Caenorhabditis elegans: one gene and its partner. The protein of the gene in region 1 interacts with the protein of each later gene in a pairwise test. Each region holds a gene or a part of one and is shown on either strand. Other genes may lie near its edges.

What was found. The genes of interacting proteins can lie anywhere in the genome.
Region 2: the proteins of madf-5 (region 1) and moe-3 interact in a two-hybrid assay, tested with the Caenorhabditis elegans proteins (one large-scale study listed by BioGRID).

Annotation. Positions count from the first base shown.
Region 1 is NC_003280.10:14,571,610-14,578,039, reverse strand, and holds madf-5 (Alcohol dehydrogenase transcription factor myb/sant-like protein), read right to left. Parts: upstream 4,426-6,430; 5' UTR 4,395-4,425; coding exon 4,093-4,394; intron 3,824-4,092; exon of another isoform or gene 3,631-3,823; intron 3,553-3,630; coding exon 2,847-3,552; intron 2,233-2,846; coding exon 2,131-2,232; intron 2,077-2,130; coding exon 1,915-2,076; 3' UTR 1,479-1,914; downstream 1-1,478. Other genes in the region: C01G12.13 (uncharacterized protein), read right to left, coding at 12-83, 129-290, 341-435, 489-666, 755-948, 993-1,083.
Region 2 is NC_003280.10:13,159,097-13,168,203, reverse strand, and holds moe-3 (CCCH-type zinc finger protein moe-3), read left to right. Parts: upstream 1-2,470; 5' UTR 2,471-2,548; coding exon 2,549-2,565; intron 2,566-3,982; coding exon 3,983-4,204; intron 4,205-4,746; coding exon 4,747-4,854; intron 4,855-5,179; coding exon 5,180-5,323; intron 5,324-5,591; coding exon 5,592-5,739; intron 5,740-6,021; coding exon 6,022-6,211; intron 6,212-6,281; coding exon 6,282-6,431; intron 6,432-7,409; coding exon 7,410-7,534; 3' UTR 7,535-7,789; downstream 7,790-9,107. Other genes in the region: F32A11.1 (Mitochondrial import inner membrane translocase subunit Tim21), read right to left, coding at 8,109-8,288. UniProt on the Caenorhabditis elegans protein: Zinc-finger protein that may play a role in oocyte maturation and fertility.

The DNA.
Region 1 (6,430 bases):
TTCAAAAAAGATCAATCTTCCTCCTTTTCTTCCAAAATTTTCTTGGTGAGCTCTTTGACATACAACTCATTGGACTTGGGCTCCTAAATAAGTTTCTTTTAAAATTCTACGTTTCCCCTGAATCTTACAATCAAAGTAGCATCTCTGATCATTTGTGACTCAATTGACACCGTATCGATGACCGTTTTCGCAGCTTCTTGTTGTTGCTTCTTACGTTGAATATGCGAATTTTGAGACTCAAATTGGATTGAAGAAACATTTTTCATTGTGTCGTCTGGGCTTTGACGTGACTTGAAATAGTTGAAAATAAGATAATGGAAACTCGAAATAATAAAATAACCTCCGATCTTTGAATCTGGCGAATCAGTTGCTCTTCCAGCTCCTTCTGCTTGGCCTGCTCACGAGCTTGCTTTTTAACAAGCTTCAGCTTCTTTCCTGTAACCTGATAATTAGGATCCATCAAAAAATCAAAAAATCTATGTGCTCACCACCATCCGGATCATTTTCAACCAGTTTCACATTGCCAAGATCTTCGTCCGTCACAGTCAAAGTTCTGGTCTTTTTCTCCTTCTCATCCTCACTCGGCTGCGAATTCTTGGTATCTTGCGATGGTTGCTGCTCGTTGGATTCGATAGATGCTGAAGGTTGCGTTACATCTTCCAGCTTCTGAAAAATGGATCACTGTATGCTAGTTACTAAGCCTGCAAATATTTTTGAAAATCGCAGCGATGGGTCCGTCCCTATTTAGAATTACCATTTCCTTCTGATCCACCTCCCTTTTAACAACAGTCTCCACCACAGCCTTTTCGAATTGTGGTTGTTGTTGTTTCTCCCTCTTTTTTCGCATTTTCTCCCGATTTTCTGCAATTTTCATCTTCCGCTCCTTCTCCAGCACGGCAGGATCGGTTTCGTAACGGATTGGTATCACTTTTGGGGGTTTCTTTGGCTCTGGAATCTCCCACGTTTAGTTAGAAACATTAATCCTAACCTGCCCTCTTTCGGTTTCCCTTTCAGACAATTTGAGGTTATAGTCATGAAAAACATGATCGCGCAGATGACGTTGTAGAATAATAATTGATACATTGTGCAACTTTAATTGACCGGTTGGAAAGTTGAAACAAATTGTTGGAAATAATTCATTTTGCATGGAAGATGTTATCGGTTGAAATTGTGGAAGTTCACGTGAAGGAAATTTTTGGAAAAAATGTGGGAAAAATTACAAAATATATTTGATATGATAAAACTTCTGAAAAATGTCTGAAATATTTGGGCAAGAACTTCTGAAAAAAAAAAAAATTTTCGGAAGTTTTTTAAAAACTCCTTTAAAAAACTAGAGTTATCTAGCTGTTTCCAGAAAGGTCTAGCAAATAAAAATTCCTTCTTCTCCAAAAATTAACAATTTCAGGAAAATCTCCAAAATACACAGAACAATTCAGAATCCGCGAGTCGGAGGGAGCACGCGCTCTGTCCAAAACCAAAAAATACACGTTTATTATAAAAAAATCGTGGTACAAAAATATACAGGCAAGATGATGGTGTTTGTAGAGACTAATTTCAAAAAATAAAAAAAATGCTGAAATTATGGAGGGAACAAAAGAAAAGTGAAAGAATTGCGCACTGACTAGACCGACGGGGAGTGAGAATACACTAAAAACTAGTTTTTGAACATTTTTCGTTTTCTACATTTAATAAAATGAGGAGAGCACCAATAAGAAAACACAAAATAGATATTTTGAAAAATAAAGGAAGTGTTTTTTCAATGTTACAGTAGCCTACCAGAATTTAGGTCTCGACACGAAAATAAATTATGCGCCTTTTAAACCGATCAGGCATATTTTTGCATTTTAGCTTGAAGGCGCAAATCATTTTTTCGTGGGGGGGGGGACCCATATACTACAAACAAAAGACTAATTTTCAAGCCGTTGGAATTTCATTTGCCGTTGGCTCAACTGCGCAATCTTCATCGTGCTCTCCGGTTGGACTATGTGCTGATGGACTGCTACAAGAGTCATCATTGTCTACAATATGGTGGGTGTCATCGGTTTCGTCCAGTAGTGACATTATTTGGTGACGGACCTGAAAAAAGTTGGAGTCTGAACTTGTTGAATATATCTGAAAACAATCTCTCACCTTTTTCCGTTTTTTCGGGTCCATTTTCTTAAGCTTCAACCCAATTATCCGGCTGTACAATAAATCCTCATCATTGAGCCATTCAAGAGCAACCCGACCGACCTGGAAAAAAGTTATATTATTCTAGAAATTCTTTCTTAAAATTTCTAATGTAGGAACACGTTATAAATTTTTGAAATTTGCTGAGAAAAAATCCTAATTTTGGTAAGAAAATCCAGAAACTTCGATTTAAAAATCTCTTAAAACTTGAAATAAATATTTAAATTCGAAAAATTTTTTTTAACTAGAAACACTTAAAATGTTTCCGAATATATTTTTTTAATAAAAATTAAATTTTAATAATCTAGAAAGTAATTAAATGTAATTCAGAAAACCAAAAAAAAATTCTGAAAATTATACACTTCAACCTTCAAAAAATCATTCCGAAAAGTTCATTAAAAAATTTTTTAACTTTAACATTTTTTCTTGAAAATCACTAAATTTTCCGAAAAAAGGTAACATTAAAAAAAACAGAACTAAATCCGAAGTTTCCAAGAATTCAGCAAACTATTTTCAATCGCATCTAATATTTTTTACAAAAAATCTAGAATTTTTTTTTAATTTAAGAAAGTTTCAGAGAAATTATTTTAAAAAAATCAAAAATCTCCAAAAAATCCAGGAAAATCACGATCCTTCCGAAAAAAATTTTTTTTACCAAATGTTCCAAACCCGCTCACCTGTTGCAAATGATATCTCATAACATTATCCGCAGTCTGCTGCCTATGCCTATTCCTCGCCGCCTCTTTATAAGGATGGAAGTGGCTCGTAGTGGACGCGGTTGGCGGTGGTGTTGAAGGTCGGAGCGGCGGGATCGCTGCCTCCTCGGATTTCCTGGCTCCATTGAGCATTGAACTCATCCCAGTGAGCTGTGCAGCAAGATGGTGTGCAAATCTAGCCTGATTCGCTGCTATGAGGGACTCCACTGATGGTTTCTGTGGGGTCTGTTGGACCTGCTGGACCTGTTGAGCCTGCTGAGTCTGCTGTTGGCTCTGAGCACTTATAGCCTCCTTGAGCATCGCCATAGCTTCGGATTGACTTTTCACCTTTTCTGGGCCATCTTCCTCTACTTCATCTTCATCTTTTATTTTAAGATCTTCCTCCTCATCTCCATCCCCATCAACTCCATCTAGATTTCCATCGAGACTTTGAGTTCCAGATTCATCATTTTCAATTTCAGGGGATATACTGTCCAATCGTTGGGCGGTTTGTGCAAGTAGTCGGTCTAAAACCGAAGATTCGAGTGCTGGATCACTATCATCATCTTCCATCTCGTCTTTTATTGAATTTAAATTTGGAAAACCGAACCAGCTGAACGGTGTGCCTGATGGCTCATCAAAAGAGTCAGATTTACCAGTTTTTTTGCCTTCATCTGCTGCTTGACCACTGCAAAAAATAGACTTTGAAGATGAGAATTTTAACTTATAATCGCGGAGTTCTAAATTATTATTTTTTACTTTTCAGATTCTTTTTGATATATCTTGAATTAATTTTTTGTAGAAAATTTTAATTTTTTTTCAAAATATTAAATTTCGAATCGATCAGTTTTTTGTCGATAAATTGTTTTTTTTTTAATTTTTATAATTTTTAATTTAAGAAAAAAAAGAATTCTGGAATTTTAATTAAATGTTTTAGTATTTTTGAAGTTTTTTTTTGAATTTGATTTTATCTACAACTTTTGATTTTTTAATGAGATTTTTCAAATTTTTTTTTCTGAATTTTTGAAGTGTTAATTTAGACTCTTTAGATATATTTCAAATTAGGTGAACTTATTTTTTAAATTTCAGTTTTTTGTTTTGATATGCCTACAAACCAAAAATTTCGCGGTTTTTCAACAAAAAAATATTAGAAAAAATATTAAAAAATTAGCTTTGTGATGGCCAGAAAAAAACGAGTTGAAAAATAATTATGAAATTCAATTCTTACATATTATCCTTCAAAAACGGGTCCAACCACGATAATTGATTAAAATAACACCATCTAACAGGTGTCACAAATCCATTTTTAATTGCAATCTTTAATTCTTTCCGATATCGATCCCTCAGCTGCAACCATCGTTTCTTCGCAAACTCTGCCGCACAATTCGGGTCAATATTTTTGGCGATTGATTCCCAAAGTCGTTGACGTTCCATTGTGTCCCCGCTGCCACGTCGTGAATGATTATATAGGCACGGGTACTTACGAACCTCGTTTATCAGACGGGCGTTAAACGCCGGCTGGAAGGCCATCTGTTTGAGTGGATTTAAATTTAGAAGGGGTCTGAAACGGAAAAATTTGAGATTTTTAGAAAAAAAAGGCTAAGGGGAGTCAGAAGCTGGGATAATCTAGAAATGGAAAAAAGGAAATAAGACATAAGAATATATATATATATATACATATATCCGTTTTTTGTTTCAAATGTTGAATTATTTTTGAAAATTATTCTTTTAACTATTTTAATTTGGAGAAATGTAGAAAAAATTGTGTAATTAAAGGGAAATTTTAAAATATTCATATTAAAAAATTGTTAATTTTTGTTTAAAACATTTTCAAAAGATTAATATTTGCAAAACCCAATTTTAAAAAATCTTAAAATTTCTAAAATCAACACAAAAAAATATTTTTTGAATTTTCAGTTAATGTTTTTTAAATCAAAATTTTTCTGAAATATTTCTGATAACAAAATATTGAAAACTGGTACTTTTAAAAAAGAGAATTTCAAAAAAATTTAAATCAAAACATTAATTTTGTCGAATGCCGAATTGTTTTTCAAAATCATTTTCAGATTTAAAAATTTTCTGGAAACTTTAAATTGTGAGATTTTTTAATAATCTAGATTATAACTTTCTGAAATTGCAGAAGGTTACGTTTTAGTACTTTAAAACAAAAATCTTTTTAAAAAAATATTTTAATTTTTTTGTCAGAAATTTAAGTAAATTTTGGCAATCTGCCAAAAAAATCTCTGTAGATCATGCAGAGGAATCTAGACACAAAAAGCCAAAAAGCCTGAGTGTGTACTACGACATGGTTAGTCTTCCAAAATGTAATAAAAAGTTTACACACTCTTTCGTGTCATTTCTCTCTTCTTCAATTCCATCTAAATCTCATGATAAACTACCGTAAGACACAATTGAAATGGTTTAGACTGAAAATCTAGGAGAACCGGTAGTATGTGTGGGTGGAGATGGAGTAGAAGAAGAAGGGGAAGAAGCTCTATGTTTTTTCCGGTGCAGGAAAATTGGAAAATTGGGGGATATTCGGTTTTTTATTTTGCTTTTAGTTGAAGCTTTAAGCGGAATTGGGAATGAAAATTAGAGGGAAATTGGTTGACGAAAGTTGCACAAAGTTGATGAAAATTGGTGATAGTATAGCGAAAGTTAAAATAGACTGAAATTGAACAAAAGTCTGCCAAAGATCTACCACAAGTTTGAGAAAAACGCAACTTCTTGAAAAACACTGGTGAAAATTGATGAAATTTTGGCGAAGGTTGGTCGGAGTTCGTAAAAACCTTGCGGGGATTGCTGAAAGTCTAGAAAAAATTAACAGAAGTTGGCAAACGTTGCTCAAAATGTCGAAGATCTGATAACAGTTGCAGAAAATTGTCGTAGATTCAGAAGAAGTTGTTTCTTGCCGAAAGTCTAGCGACAGTTCGCGAAAGTTGTTTTTAAAAAATATTGAAAGTATAGAAACAATTCAAAAAAGTTGGTCAAAAATTGAGCAGCAGTTTGGAACTATTGCAATTGCTTTTTGAAAGTTGACAAATGTCTAACGAAGGTTGGCGAAAGTTGGCAAAACTTTAGCAAAATCTGATAAAAAGGTATGGATTGTTGTAAAAATAGATAATTCGGGAAAAATGGAAAATGTCATTAAACACAATATCTCAGCAGGGGGTGGCTGGCTGACAATCTCCCCCGGTTAGGCTTCTCCTTCTTTTCTTCCCCCAACACAACCATCTTCATCTCCTTCAAACCGAATCATATCAGATAAGAAGCCGTTGATCCGCCCGAAAAAGGAAGGAAACGAACAAAATCCGGATTGCGGACATCCGAACTGAAGCTGGGGTAGGGGCAAAATAGTGTGGAGCAGCGATAGACGCAGAGGTGGTGGAGACCGGCGGAATGGGATGGCGGGGATCGAAGACGTTTAACACAACATTCGACTATGATAACACATTTTTAGAGTGATTTGATTTGATTTGTTTCTGTTTTTTCAGATTTCGGTTTGGGTATTCCGGATTTTTATGCTTTTAGGAGCAGGTGACCGCGAAAATAAAAATAAAAATCGG
Region 2 (9,107 bases), 1.4 Mb from region 1:
ACCCGAATTTTCTGGAACTCACTAGAAATCATGCCGACTGAGAAATTAAAAAAAAAATAAATCGAAAGCTGAAAATCTGCCATGCCAGCACTCCCTTCCAAGTTCCAAAAACGGACAATTTTTTGAACCAATTTAAAAAAAGCGTTACATATTCATGCCATCACTTCTCTTTTTTTTCATTCGCATCTTCTCCATCTTGATCCAGAGAGGGGCAAGTCGATGCCGTTTCGTGTTTGTTGTATTGCCAATTGATCCTAATCGCATTGATGCAATAGTCTGGCATTGCTTCTTCTTCTTTCGGCAAAACCTTTTCATTTAGTCCGGTTCCACACGGGCCTCCTTTTTTGCCCTTTTTGCTTTAATTTTTCACTTTTTATAATGCGTGTGTGTGTGTATATCTTTTCGCTTGCCCCTCTAATACTCACTTTTGCGCATCACCATCTTTTCACTCATTACAGTGGATTTCTGAAAGAAATGGAAACGCATGTTACACTCACACCTTTCGCTAGCGTCTTCATCTCTGAATCCTTTCGTTTTCGGTCACTCAGCAAACATGTTACCTCTCTCTCTTTCTTTCTCTGTCTTTTTCTGTTCCATTTGTTACGCAATCGGAATAGAAAAGCAGTTCCAAACTGCCCGTTCTTACCCGCCCTTCCAAGTTTTCTCTCAATCATTTCCCCTTCGATTGCCTAATCTTCCAGTTTGGCTTCTTCATTTTCCCTTAACAATTTAGAATCACATTTTTCTGAGCTTCATCTAATATTTAAATTTGTGCCAAGCGTTCCTACATTGCAAATCAATTGTGTCTTTTTAGGCTCTAGCTTCAAATTTGAGCTCAGGAACAGCTGATCCATAGTTTTTAGTTTGGATCAAAACCTTCAAAACTTGTGTCTTATAAGGCGTAGGTTTGAGGTAGGCAAAAATATAGTTTTCACTTGATTTGGAGAAACTGAAAATTCTCAAAAATGTTCGTCGAATTTTATTCCGACAATTTTCAACTTACCGACAATTTTGGTGCATGTTTTCAATCTGGATTCAGTTGTTTTAAATATTTAAAATACAAGTTAATGTCTGACAAAGCAAATATAGTTATATGTATTTTTTTTTCAATTTTAATGACAAATATTGGGAGAAAATGCCACGCTAGCTCATTTTTTAGAATTTTTGGACACAAAAACATCAAAAAATTTTTGTAGAGACAATGCATATTTTACACGACCACAGCCACAGTACCCGCAAGTATTCTGATATGTATTTTGAACAATTATTCGATATTTTATGTGTTTGCAAAATTTTCCAAAAAATTGAAGCTTCTGAGTTTTAAATAGTGTCAAAAACAGGCAAGACAATTTCGAATCACTTGTAGGTGCGGTAACTGCAAATTTCAAGTTGTTTCGTAATCCGTACCAGGGGTGGGCAGCAAACGATCCGGCAAATCGGCAAACCGGCAAATTGCCGAAATTGGAAATTTCCGGCAAACCGGCAAATTGACGATTTGCAGAATTTGCCAAAAATTTTTTGCCCTTTTTTTTTTGGAAATTTCAGAACTTCAATTTCAGACAGCCGAATTAAGCACATCCTATGAATATTCCTACATTTATTTCAATAAGTAAGCAAATTCTGTTAAAATAACTAGAAAAAACGGGAAAAATTCAAAATGGCACAGTTTTAAGTGTTTACGTCCTGTAAATAATCCCTCTAGACATTTCCGGCAAATCTGATATCCGGCAAACGGCAAATCGGCAATTTGCCGAAAATGAAAATTTCCGGTAAATCGGCAAACCGGCAATTTGCCGATTTGTCGAATTTGTCGACAAATCAATTTGCCGAACCGCAATTGCCGCCCAGCCCTGATTCTATCGCATTTATTTTTGTGTCAAAAAGCAGAAAACTCCGCAACTGGGTAATTTTATATTTTATAGGGCTCCTAAACATCTTAAAGTTCTTTCAACTGGGGTTTTTGTAGGGAGCATCGCAGAATTTTGAAAATACTGGATTTTAAAATCATGTTTCTCCCTGTTCTATTACTTTTAACTGATATACCCCCTGATCCAATGATCTCCAATCAACTGATCGCAATCACATGCCCCCTCCGAACTAGCGGACACATGAATAAAAATCAGCTGTTAAGTCCATGTCGAACCCCTCGTATCTTGTGTAATAGACTGCTCACAATTCTTTTTTGTTCTTATCACCATCACATGAATTGTCATTTCTCGAGACCGGTTCTTCGCTTCTCTGCGTCTCTCGATCTCTCGCCTTATTTTCAGACCGTGTTTTTTACTTTCAAATTTCAGTTCATTTCAACTTCCCCTCTAAGTACATAACCTCTTCAAATATCAAATATTTTGTGTGTCATAGTTATGTTTAATCTTCTCTCATTTTCACTGTTCTCTCATTCTCGTTTATCCGCAACTGACCCTGAAATTTTTGTGCCCGCCGTGTTTTTCACGAATTTCACAGTTTTCAGGGGTATTGGCTGACCGCGACACATTCATCCCGTTTTTCAGATTTTTTACATATTTAATCAAGTCAGGGAAGGCGCACGATGAGCAAGGTGAAAGGGTGAGATTTTTGACGATACTTTTAGAATTTTCGAGGCTAAAATACAAATTTCCGGCAAATCGGCAAACCGGCGAATTGCTGAATTTGCCGAATTTGCCGGAAAAACGGCTTTGAAAGCTTTTTGGAAATTTTAGAATTTAAATTTTAATCGGCAAAATACTACGACTATTTTAAAAAGTAAGCAAATTCTATGAAAATATCTAAAGAAAATCGCGGAAATAATAAACATTTCTGCCGGAAATGAAAAATTCCGGCAAATCGGCAATTGTCGAAAATTTCCGGCAAATTGTGGTTTTGCACGGTTTTTTTGTTGGAAATTTCGGAATTTCAATTTTAATAGACAAAATTGCACGCATCAAAAAATCAAGGTTTTAAGTGTTTTCGTCTTATAAAAAAATCCCTTTAAACATTTTCGGCAAATCTGATATCCGGCAAGCGACAAACCGGCAAATTACCGGAATTGAAAATCTCCGTCAAAAAAAATGTGCCGACAAAAAAATTGCCGAACGGCAATTGGCCGCCTCTGTACATATATATCGACTAATTATTAAAGAAATATGAAAACATAAGAAATAGATGAAGAATTTGTCTAGTTAATAGGTAGGGAAGTAGGCACGTAGGTTTTTTGTGCCTACATGCCTATATGCATAGTGCATAGGGACAGAAAATCTGAAGTTCTAAAAAAATGCTTAAAAACTTGATTAAAAAGTGTATGATTTTGTGCCTACACAGAAAATTTGACTTTGTTTTTTTTTGTTTAATTCCAAACGCGTAAAGCTTTCAAAAATATTTGTTCTGAATATTATCCTTGCTGAAAACACTTTAAAATATATATTAAAGCTTCCTTAAAAGTTTAGTTGAAACCTCCATTTATTAAAAAAAAGTTTTAAAAAAGTTCATAACTTATTCAGTTGGTGTTCCATTGTGACATGGCTATATATTCTTGTCAAGAATATGTATATCTAATTAATAATTTTATTACCACAAAAAATTCCCTTCAAAAGTGTAAGCTGGAGCAATTTGAAAATGTGCAATTTTTAGAAATTTTTAATTTTAAAAGTCAAAGCAAAATTTTAAATAAAATTTTCATAATTGATATTAAATCAGTTTTTGTGCAATTTGTTAAAAGGTTTAATTGAAATTATTGATGCACTATATTTTACGTGTCACATTTTTTACAGCTAAAGCTGTAATTTTGAAAAAGCTTGATAAGTCTAACTAGTGAGATTAAGTGCACTATTTGTGAACAGAAGAGATAAATAAATATCCTGTTCGTTATCACTCGAACGGTTTTATCAGCCGAGATATAGTGGACAGAACAGTGACAACGCCAAAAACTGGCAATAATGATACTTCCTCCCCTCCCCATCCCAACTTTTTTGGATTATTTCATACCCACAACTTATTTATTTTCCAGAGATCTCGAAAAGTCTGACAAGCGTCCACCATCGTCCATGTCAACTGGTTCAGCTGACAGTGGTGTATTCTCATCGGGAGTTCATGCTTCATCACCTAGTCATAGTCAAGGATCATCATCGCAGAGTGGGCCACCGAGTCCTACTACTCAGTTGAACTCGTTGCTTTTTGAAACTGCTAACCTGATTGCGGTGAATGAGCAATTGAGAAAGGAAATTGCAGAGTTAGTTTTATTTTGTTGCTTGGCTCCAGTTTCTTGCGCAAGTTTTGCCCGAAAAAATTAACTTGGAATTTCGGCAATTGCCGGTTTTGGAAATTTTCGGCATTTGGCAATTCTGTGCAATTGCCGGTTTTAGAAATTATCGGCAATATTGGCAATTTCTGCATTTGCCAGTTTTAGAAATTCTCGGCAATCGGAAACTGCAGGTTTTGGATATTTTCGGCAATTGGCAATTTTGACAATAGCCGGTTCAAAAATTACATTACTTTGAGCTTGAAAAAAAAAAAGTTCATTAAAGTGCATGTTTAAGGTCCGGCAGTTCTGATTTCCGAAAACCGGCAATTCTGACGATTGCCGGTTTCGGGAGTTTTCTGCAATCGGCAAATTTGGCAGTTGCCGAAATTGCCGAAAGCAGAATTGGGCCAAATTTCGGTTAAACTTTGGGCCTAAATGTCTTGCCCAACTGTTGCCCAAGTTAACTTTTTTGTGCCAAATTTGGGCAAGAAGCTATGTTTGAAACCTAAACACCAAACACTGTTTTTCAGAAACAAGCAAATCCAGACGAACCAGATGCGAGCACTCAGATACTCCTCAAATCCAGTCGATCAGCCATTTGTAGCGAATTCGATATCACCACATCACGGGTTTCCACAGTGAGTTTTAATTATTCAAATTGTTAAACCAAAAGAAATTCAAAATCTTTTTGATTTGGAAAAAATGTGAAAAAACCAAATCAAAAACCATTGAAAAAATTCAAAGATAACGTACCAAGTTTCAACGCATGTATCTAAACTATTTTTTGTGATATCAAAAAGTTTTTAACTGCACTAATGTAGCTGATAATGTGATAAATATTTTTGTAGTTGAAAATGCTTTCATAGCGCTTAAAATAACTAAGATGTAAGGTGTCAAAGTAGTGGAAAATTTCCACAAAAAAAAACCATTTTTAGAGTTTCTCCTAATAATTACATTTTCCAGACGCCCCCCTCGCGGCGAACGGCGGATGCAAAAGCCCGAATCTTACAAGACGGTCATTTGTCAGGCATGGCTCGAGTCGAAAACATGCACTTTTGCTGAAAATTGCCGATTTGCACATGGAGAGGAAGAGCTGCGCCCGGCGAAGTGAGTTTTCAAAATTTTTGCGCATAACTTTTGGCGCAGGGGTGGACAATTTGCCGATTTGCCGGAAATTTCAATTCCGGCAATTTGCCGATTTTCGGAAAAATTCAATTCCGGAATTTTATCGATTTGCCGGAATTTCTATTCCGGCAATTTGCCGATTTGCCGGAAATTTCAATTCCGGCAGTTTACCGATTTGCCGGAAATTTCAACTCCTGCAATTTGCCGCTTTGCCTGAAATTTGACGCGCAAAAACCCTGAATATTTTCAGACTGGAATCACGACAAAACAACAAGTACAAGACGAAACTTTGTGACAAGTACACTACCACTGGACTATGCCCCTATGGCAAACGGTGTCTTTTTATTCATCCCGATAATCAGCCAAATGCATATATCAGAGCTGATAAGCTTTATGAGGTTAGTGATGGAGAGGTGGCCTAGAAAATTCAAGTCGGCTATCTTTTGAAACTAAAATGTATTATCTAGACTAGAAATTTTGGATTTTTTGCCCAAAATTGCGGTACCCGGTCTCGACACGACAATTTTTACTAGATTTTGAAACTACACTATTCTTTAAAGGCGCACACCTTATTGTATATTTGCTTCACCAACAAAAATATTTCGCGTCGAGACCAAGTACCGTACCTATGCCGCAAAAATCGCAAATTCCTGTAATTATTCAAAAACTCCAATTTTCAGGTCTCGCAGCGCCACGCACTCGCAGATTTACGGGATCACGTGGAATCACAGATTATGACAGGAAATACGAGAAACTCGTATAATCAACAGCCGCCACCGATGGGCGGTCTAGAAATGCAATCTTCACCGATGAAATCGAGTTCTGACTCCAGTCATATGCGTTCTCCAATGGCTCAGATGAATTGTGAAAGTGAGTTTTTTAAAATAATTTTTTAGAAAAAAAACAAGTTTCAATAAATTCCTTGAAATTTTTTTTTCAGCCACGCGTCCTCACCCTAGCTGGCCGTTGGAATCTTCGTCCTTTTTCTTGCCACCCGAAATGTCTTCAATCAATAATAATAATTTGATGAGCCCATTTGAGACGCCATTTCCCAACGGCTCCACGGGAATTCAACCACATTTTGTGACAGGTTAGATTTATGGGATATTACGGGAACACAAAATTCTGAGAATGCGTATTGCGCAACATATTTGACGCGCAAAGTATCTCGTAGCGAAAACTACAGTAATTCTCTAAATGACTACTGCAGCGCTTGTGTCGATTTACAGGGCACAGTCTCCTCCAGTGGAAATTTTGGTTTGTTGGCGCACTTCTCGTGCATCGCGTGCAAAATTGAGAAATTTCCGAAAACGTTCAATTTACTGTTTTTCTTCATATTTTTCATAACATAAGCTTTGGTGGAAGATTACTTTTCAAATGAACATCAAATTCCACTAGAAAAATGATGAAAAATATACGAAATATGAGAAAAACTCAATTTTTAGCGGTTTTTTCTTTTTATATCAGCGCTTTTATTTTTGAACCAAAATCAAAAATCTTTTTTTTTCCACCTTGCCCTTAATTAGCTTTACAATTGATACGTAATTAAAAAGTTTGAAATCGATTTTAAACCCGTGAAAACTGAAGGAAATCACTTTTCAACGGTAAAATTTTCCCACGCTCACGAGAAACGCGCAAGCCCCCTTGTTGGGTCATTTCCAGGAGGCTGTGCAGGGCTCTAGATTTTTGAAAAGAAATTCATTTCGAAAATCGAGCGCTACAGTAGTCATTTAAAGGATTACTGTAGTTTTCGCTGCGAGATATTTTGCGCGTCAAATATGTTGTGCAATACGCATTCTCCGAATTCTGTGTTCCCGTAATAAATTATTCCCCCATTTTTGTGTGAAATTTGTAATTTTTCTTGAAAAAACTTGTGAGCTTGAATTTCTCAAACTTGCGCGTCAAATACGAGGTACTAGGTGCAGTGAACCACAGAATCCGAATACTGTGCAAACACCGACACAAAGCGTCATATTTCACTCGCAAATTTGAAAGATCAATAATGGTTTTTTTTTTCGTGGAAAAAACACAAATTTCAATTTAAAATTAAAAAATTCCGAATTTTCAGCAAAACGGAGAGCAGCCTTTCCTCCAGTGCCTTCCAATTTCCAACAAGACGATGATAATATGTCATCAATTCCAGGATTCGACCATCTTGCAGAGGATATGGCTAAACATCTTGAATTGTGGTGACATTTTTCAGTTTTTTTTTAATTTGAAATTTGTTTGTCTTCCTTGTCTGTGAGTATTGTTCAACGATTAGTTACTAATAATATTTGAGTAGCAAGTGGTCCTAAATCCTTTTTTTTAAAGATTTTTAAATTTATAATAAAAATGGGACCACCTGATACACATCTCACTAATATTTTTTTCGCTTCTTTTTTTGAAAATTTTTTATCTCCTAATATTAATTATTTTTATTGCTCCCCCTAAATAAAGTTTTAATTTTATTTCACACAAGGGATAATACACGTTGCAAAAAGCGCAAAATCCTAAGCTTCTTTCTCTAAAAATTTTGGATGAGGTTGGTTCTTTTCTTTTTTTTTGGGAGGGAGAAACGGAATAAAACCGGAATATGGAGCAAAAAAGAGACGGGAAAAACGAAATTGATGCATACTGACTACGAAAATCAAAAAGAAAAGGCATCTAGAAAGTCGTGTGAACAATTCTGAAACAGGCAAATGTACAATTGAACGGGGACTTTTTGCAAAAAAAAAATTTGAAGGAATAAGTGAGTATTTTCGATCGAGATGCTCCGCACAGCTGCTCACTTTCCGATCCGTTGGCGGACCTTGTTGTACTTGTCCGTGAGCCGGTCCACTCCTGACGCGAATCGTCGATAGCCATTTTGCATGTGAGCAGCAATCGCCAAGACTACGTAATAGGTCTGTTGAGTCAACTTCACTCCGTAGAGAATCACGTCTTTTGTCACGTTGTAGAGCAGAACCTGAATAAAAACTGTTTTGTTTTTGAATTCAAAAATTTATCCAGAAATTTGTGCGAATTTAAGGTTTTGAAGAAATAGTATTATTTAGGGCTATAAATTCTGCTATTTCTGCGCAAAATATTACGGTATCCGGTCTCGACACGAAATATTTTCTTGAAGCGCGGAGGAAAGGTGTGCCGCTTCAAAGTGTACTGTAGTTTCAATATTTCAATGTTGCAGAATTTTTATCGACTTTTTATAGTTTTTTCCACGATTTGTCAACTCCTAATGTTTTTTCTTGTTATATTTGAGTTTTTTAATTAAAAATAATTTTTGAAAAACAATGAAAAAACCGCATCAACAAGAATTTTGAAAAAAAAAACAATTTTTGAGTTTTTGTTGATTTTTTATAGTTTTTTTTGTTAAAAAAATATATTCATTTTTTTTATTTAAAAGCTCAAATATAACGGTAAGAACACAATAAATCTTAACAAATCGTGAGGAAAACTTCGATTTTTGATTTTTATCATTTTTGTCAAAATCTATTGTGTTTTTATTGTTATATTTGAGCTTTTAAATAAATATATAATTTTTTTTAATAGAAAAACTATATTTCAAGCTTGACTAATAAGAGTTTCAAACTACAGTAACCTTTAAAGGCGCTCGCCTTTTCGCATTTGAAAAGAATTTGTCGTTACGAAACCGGGTACAGTGTGTCTGACTCAAAAATTAAAATTTTGAATTAAATTTTAAGTCTGGGTGATAATATATTTTTTTAGAATTCGTCAAAACTAAGAATACAGCACACGAGAACGATTTTTCAAGCTCATTTTTTCATTT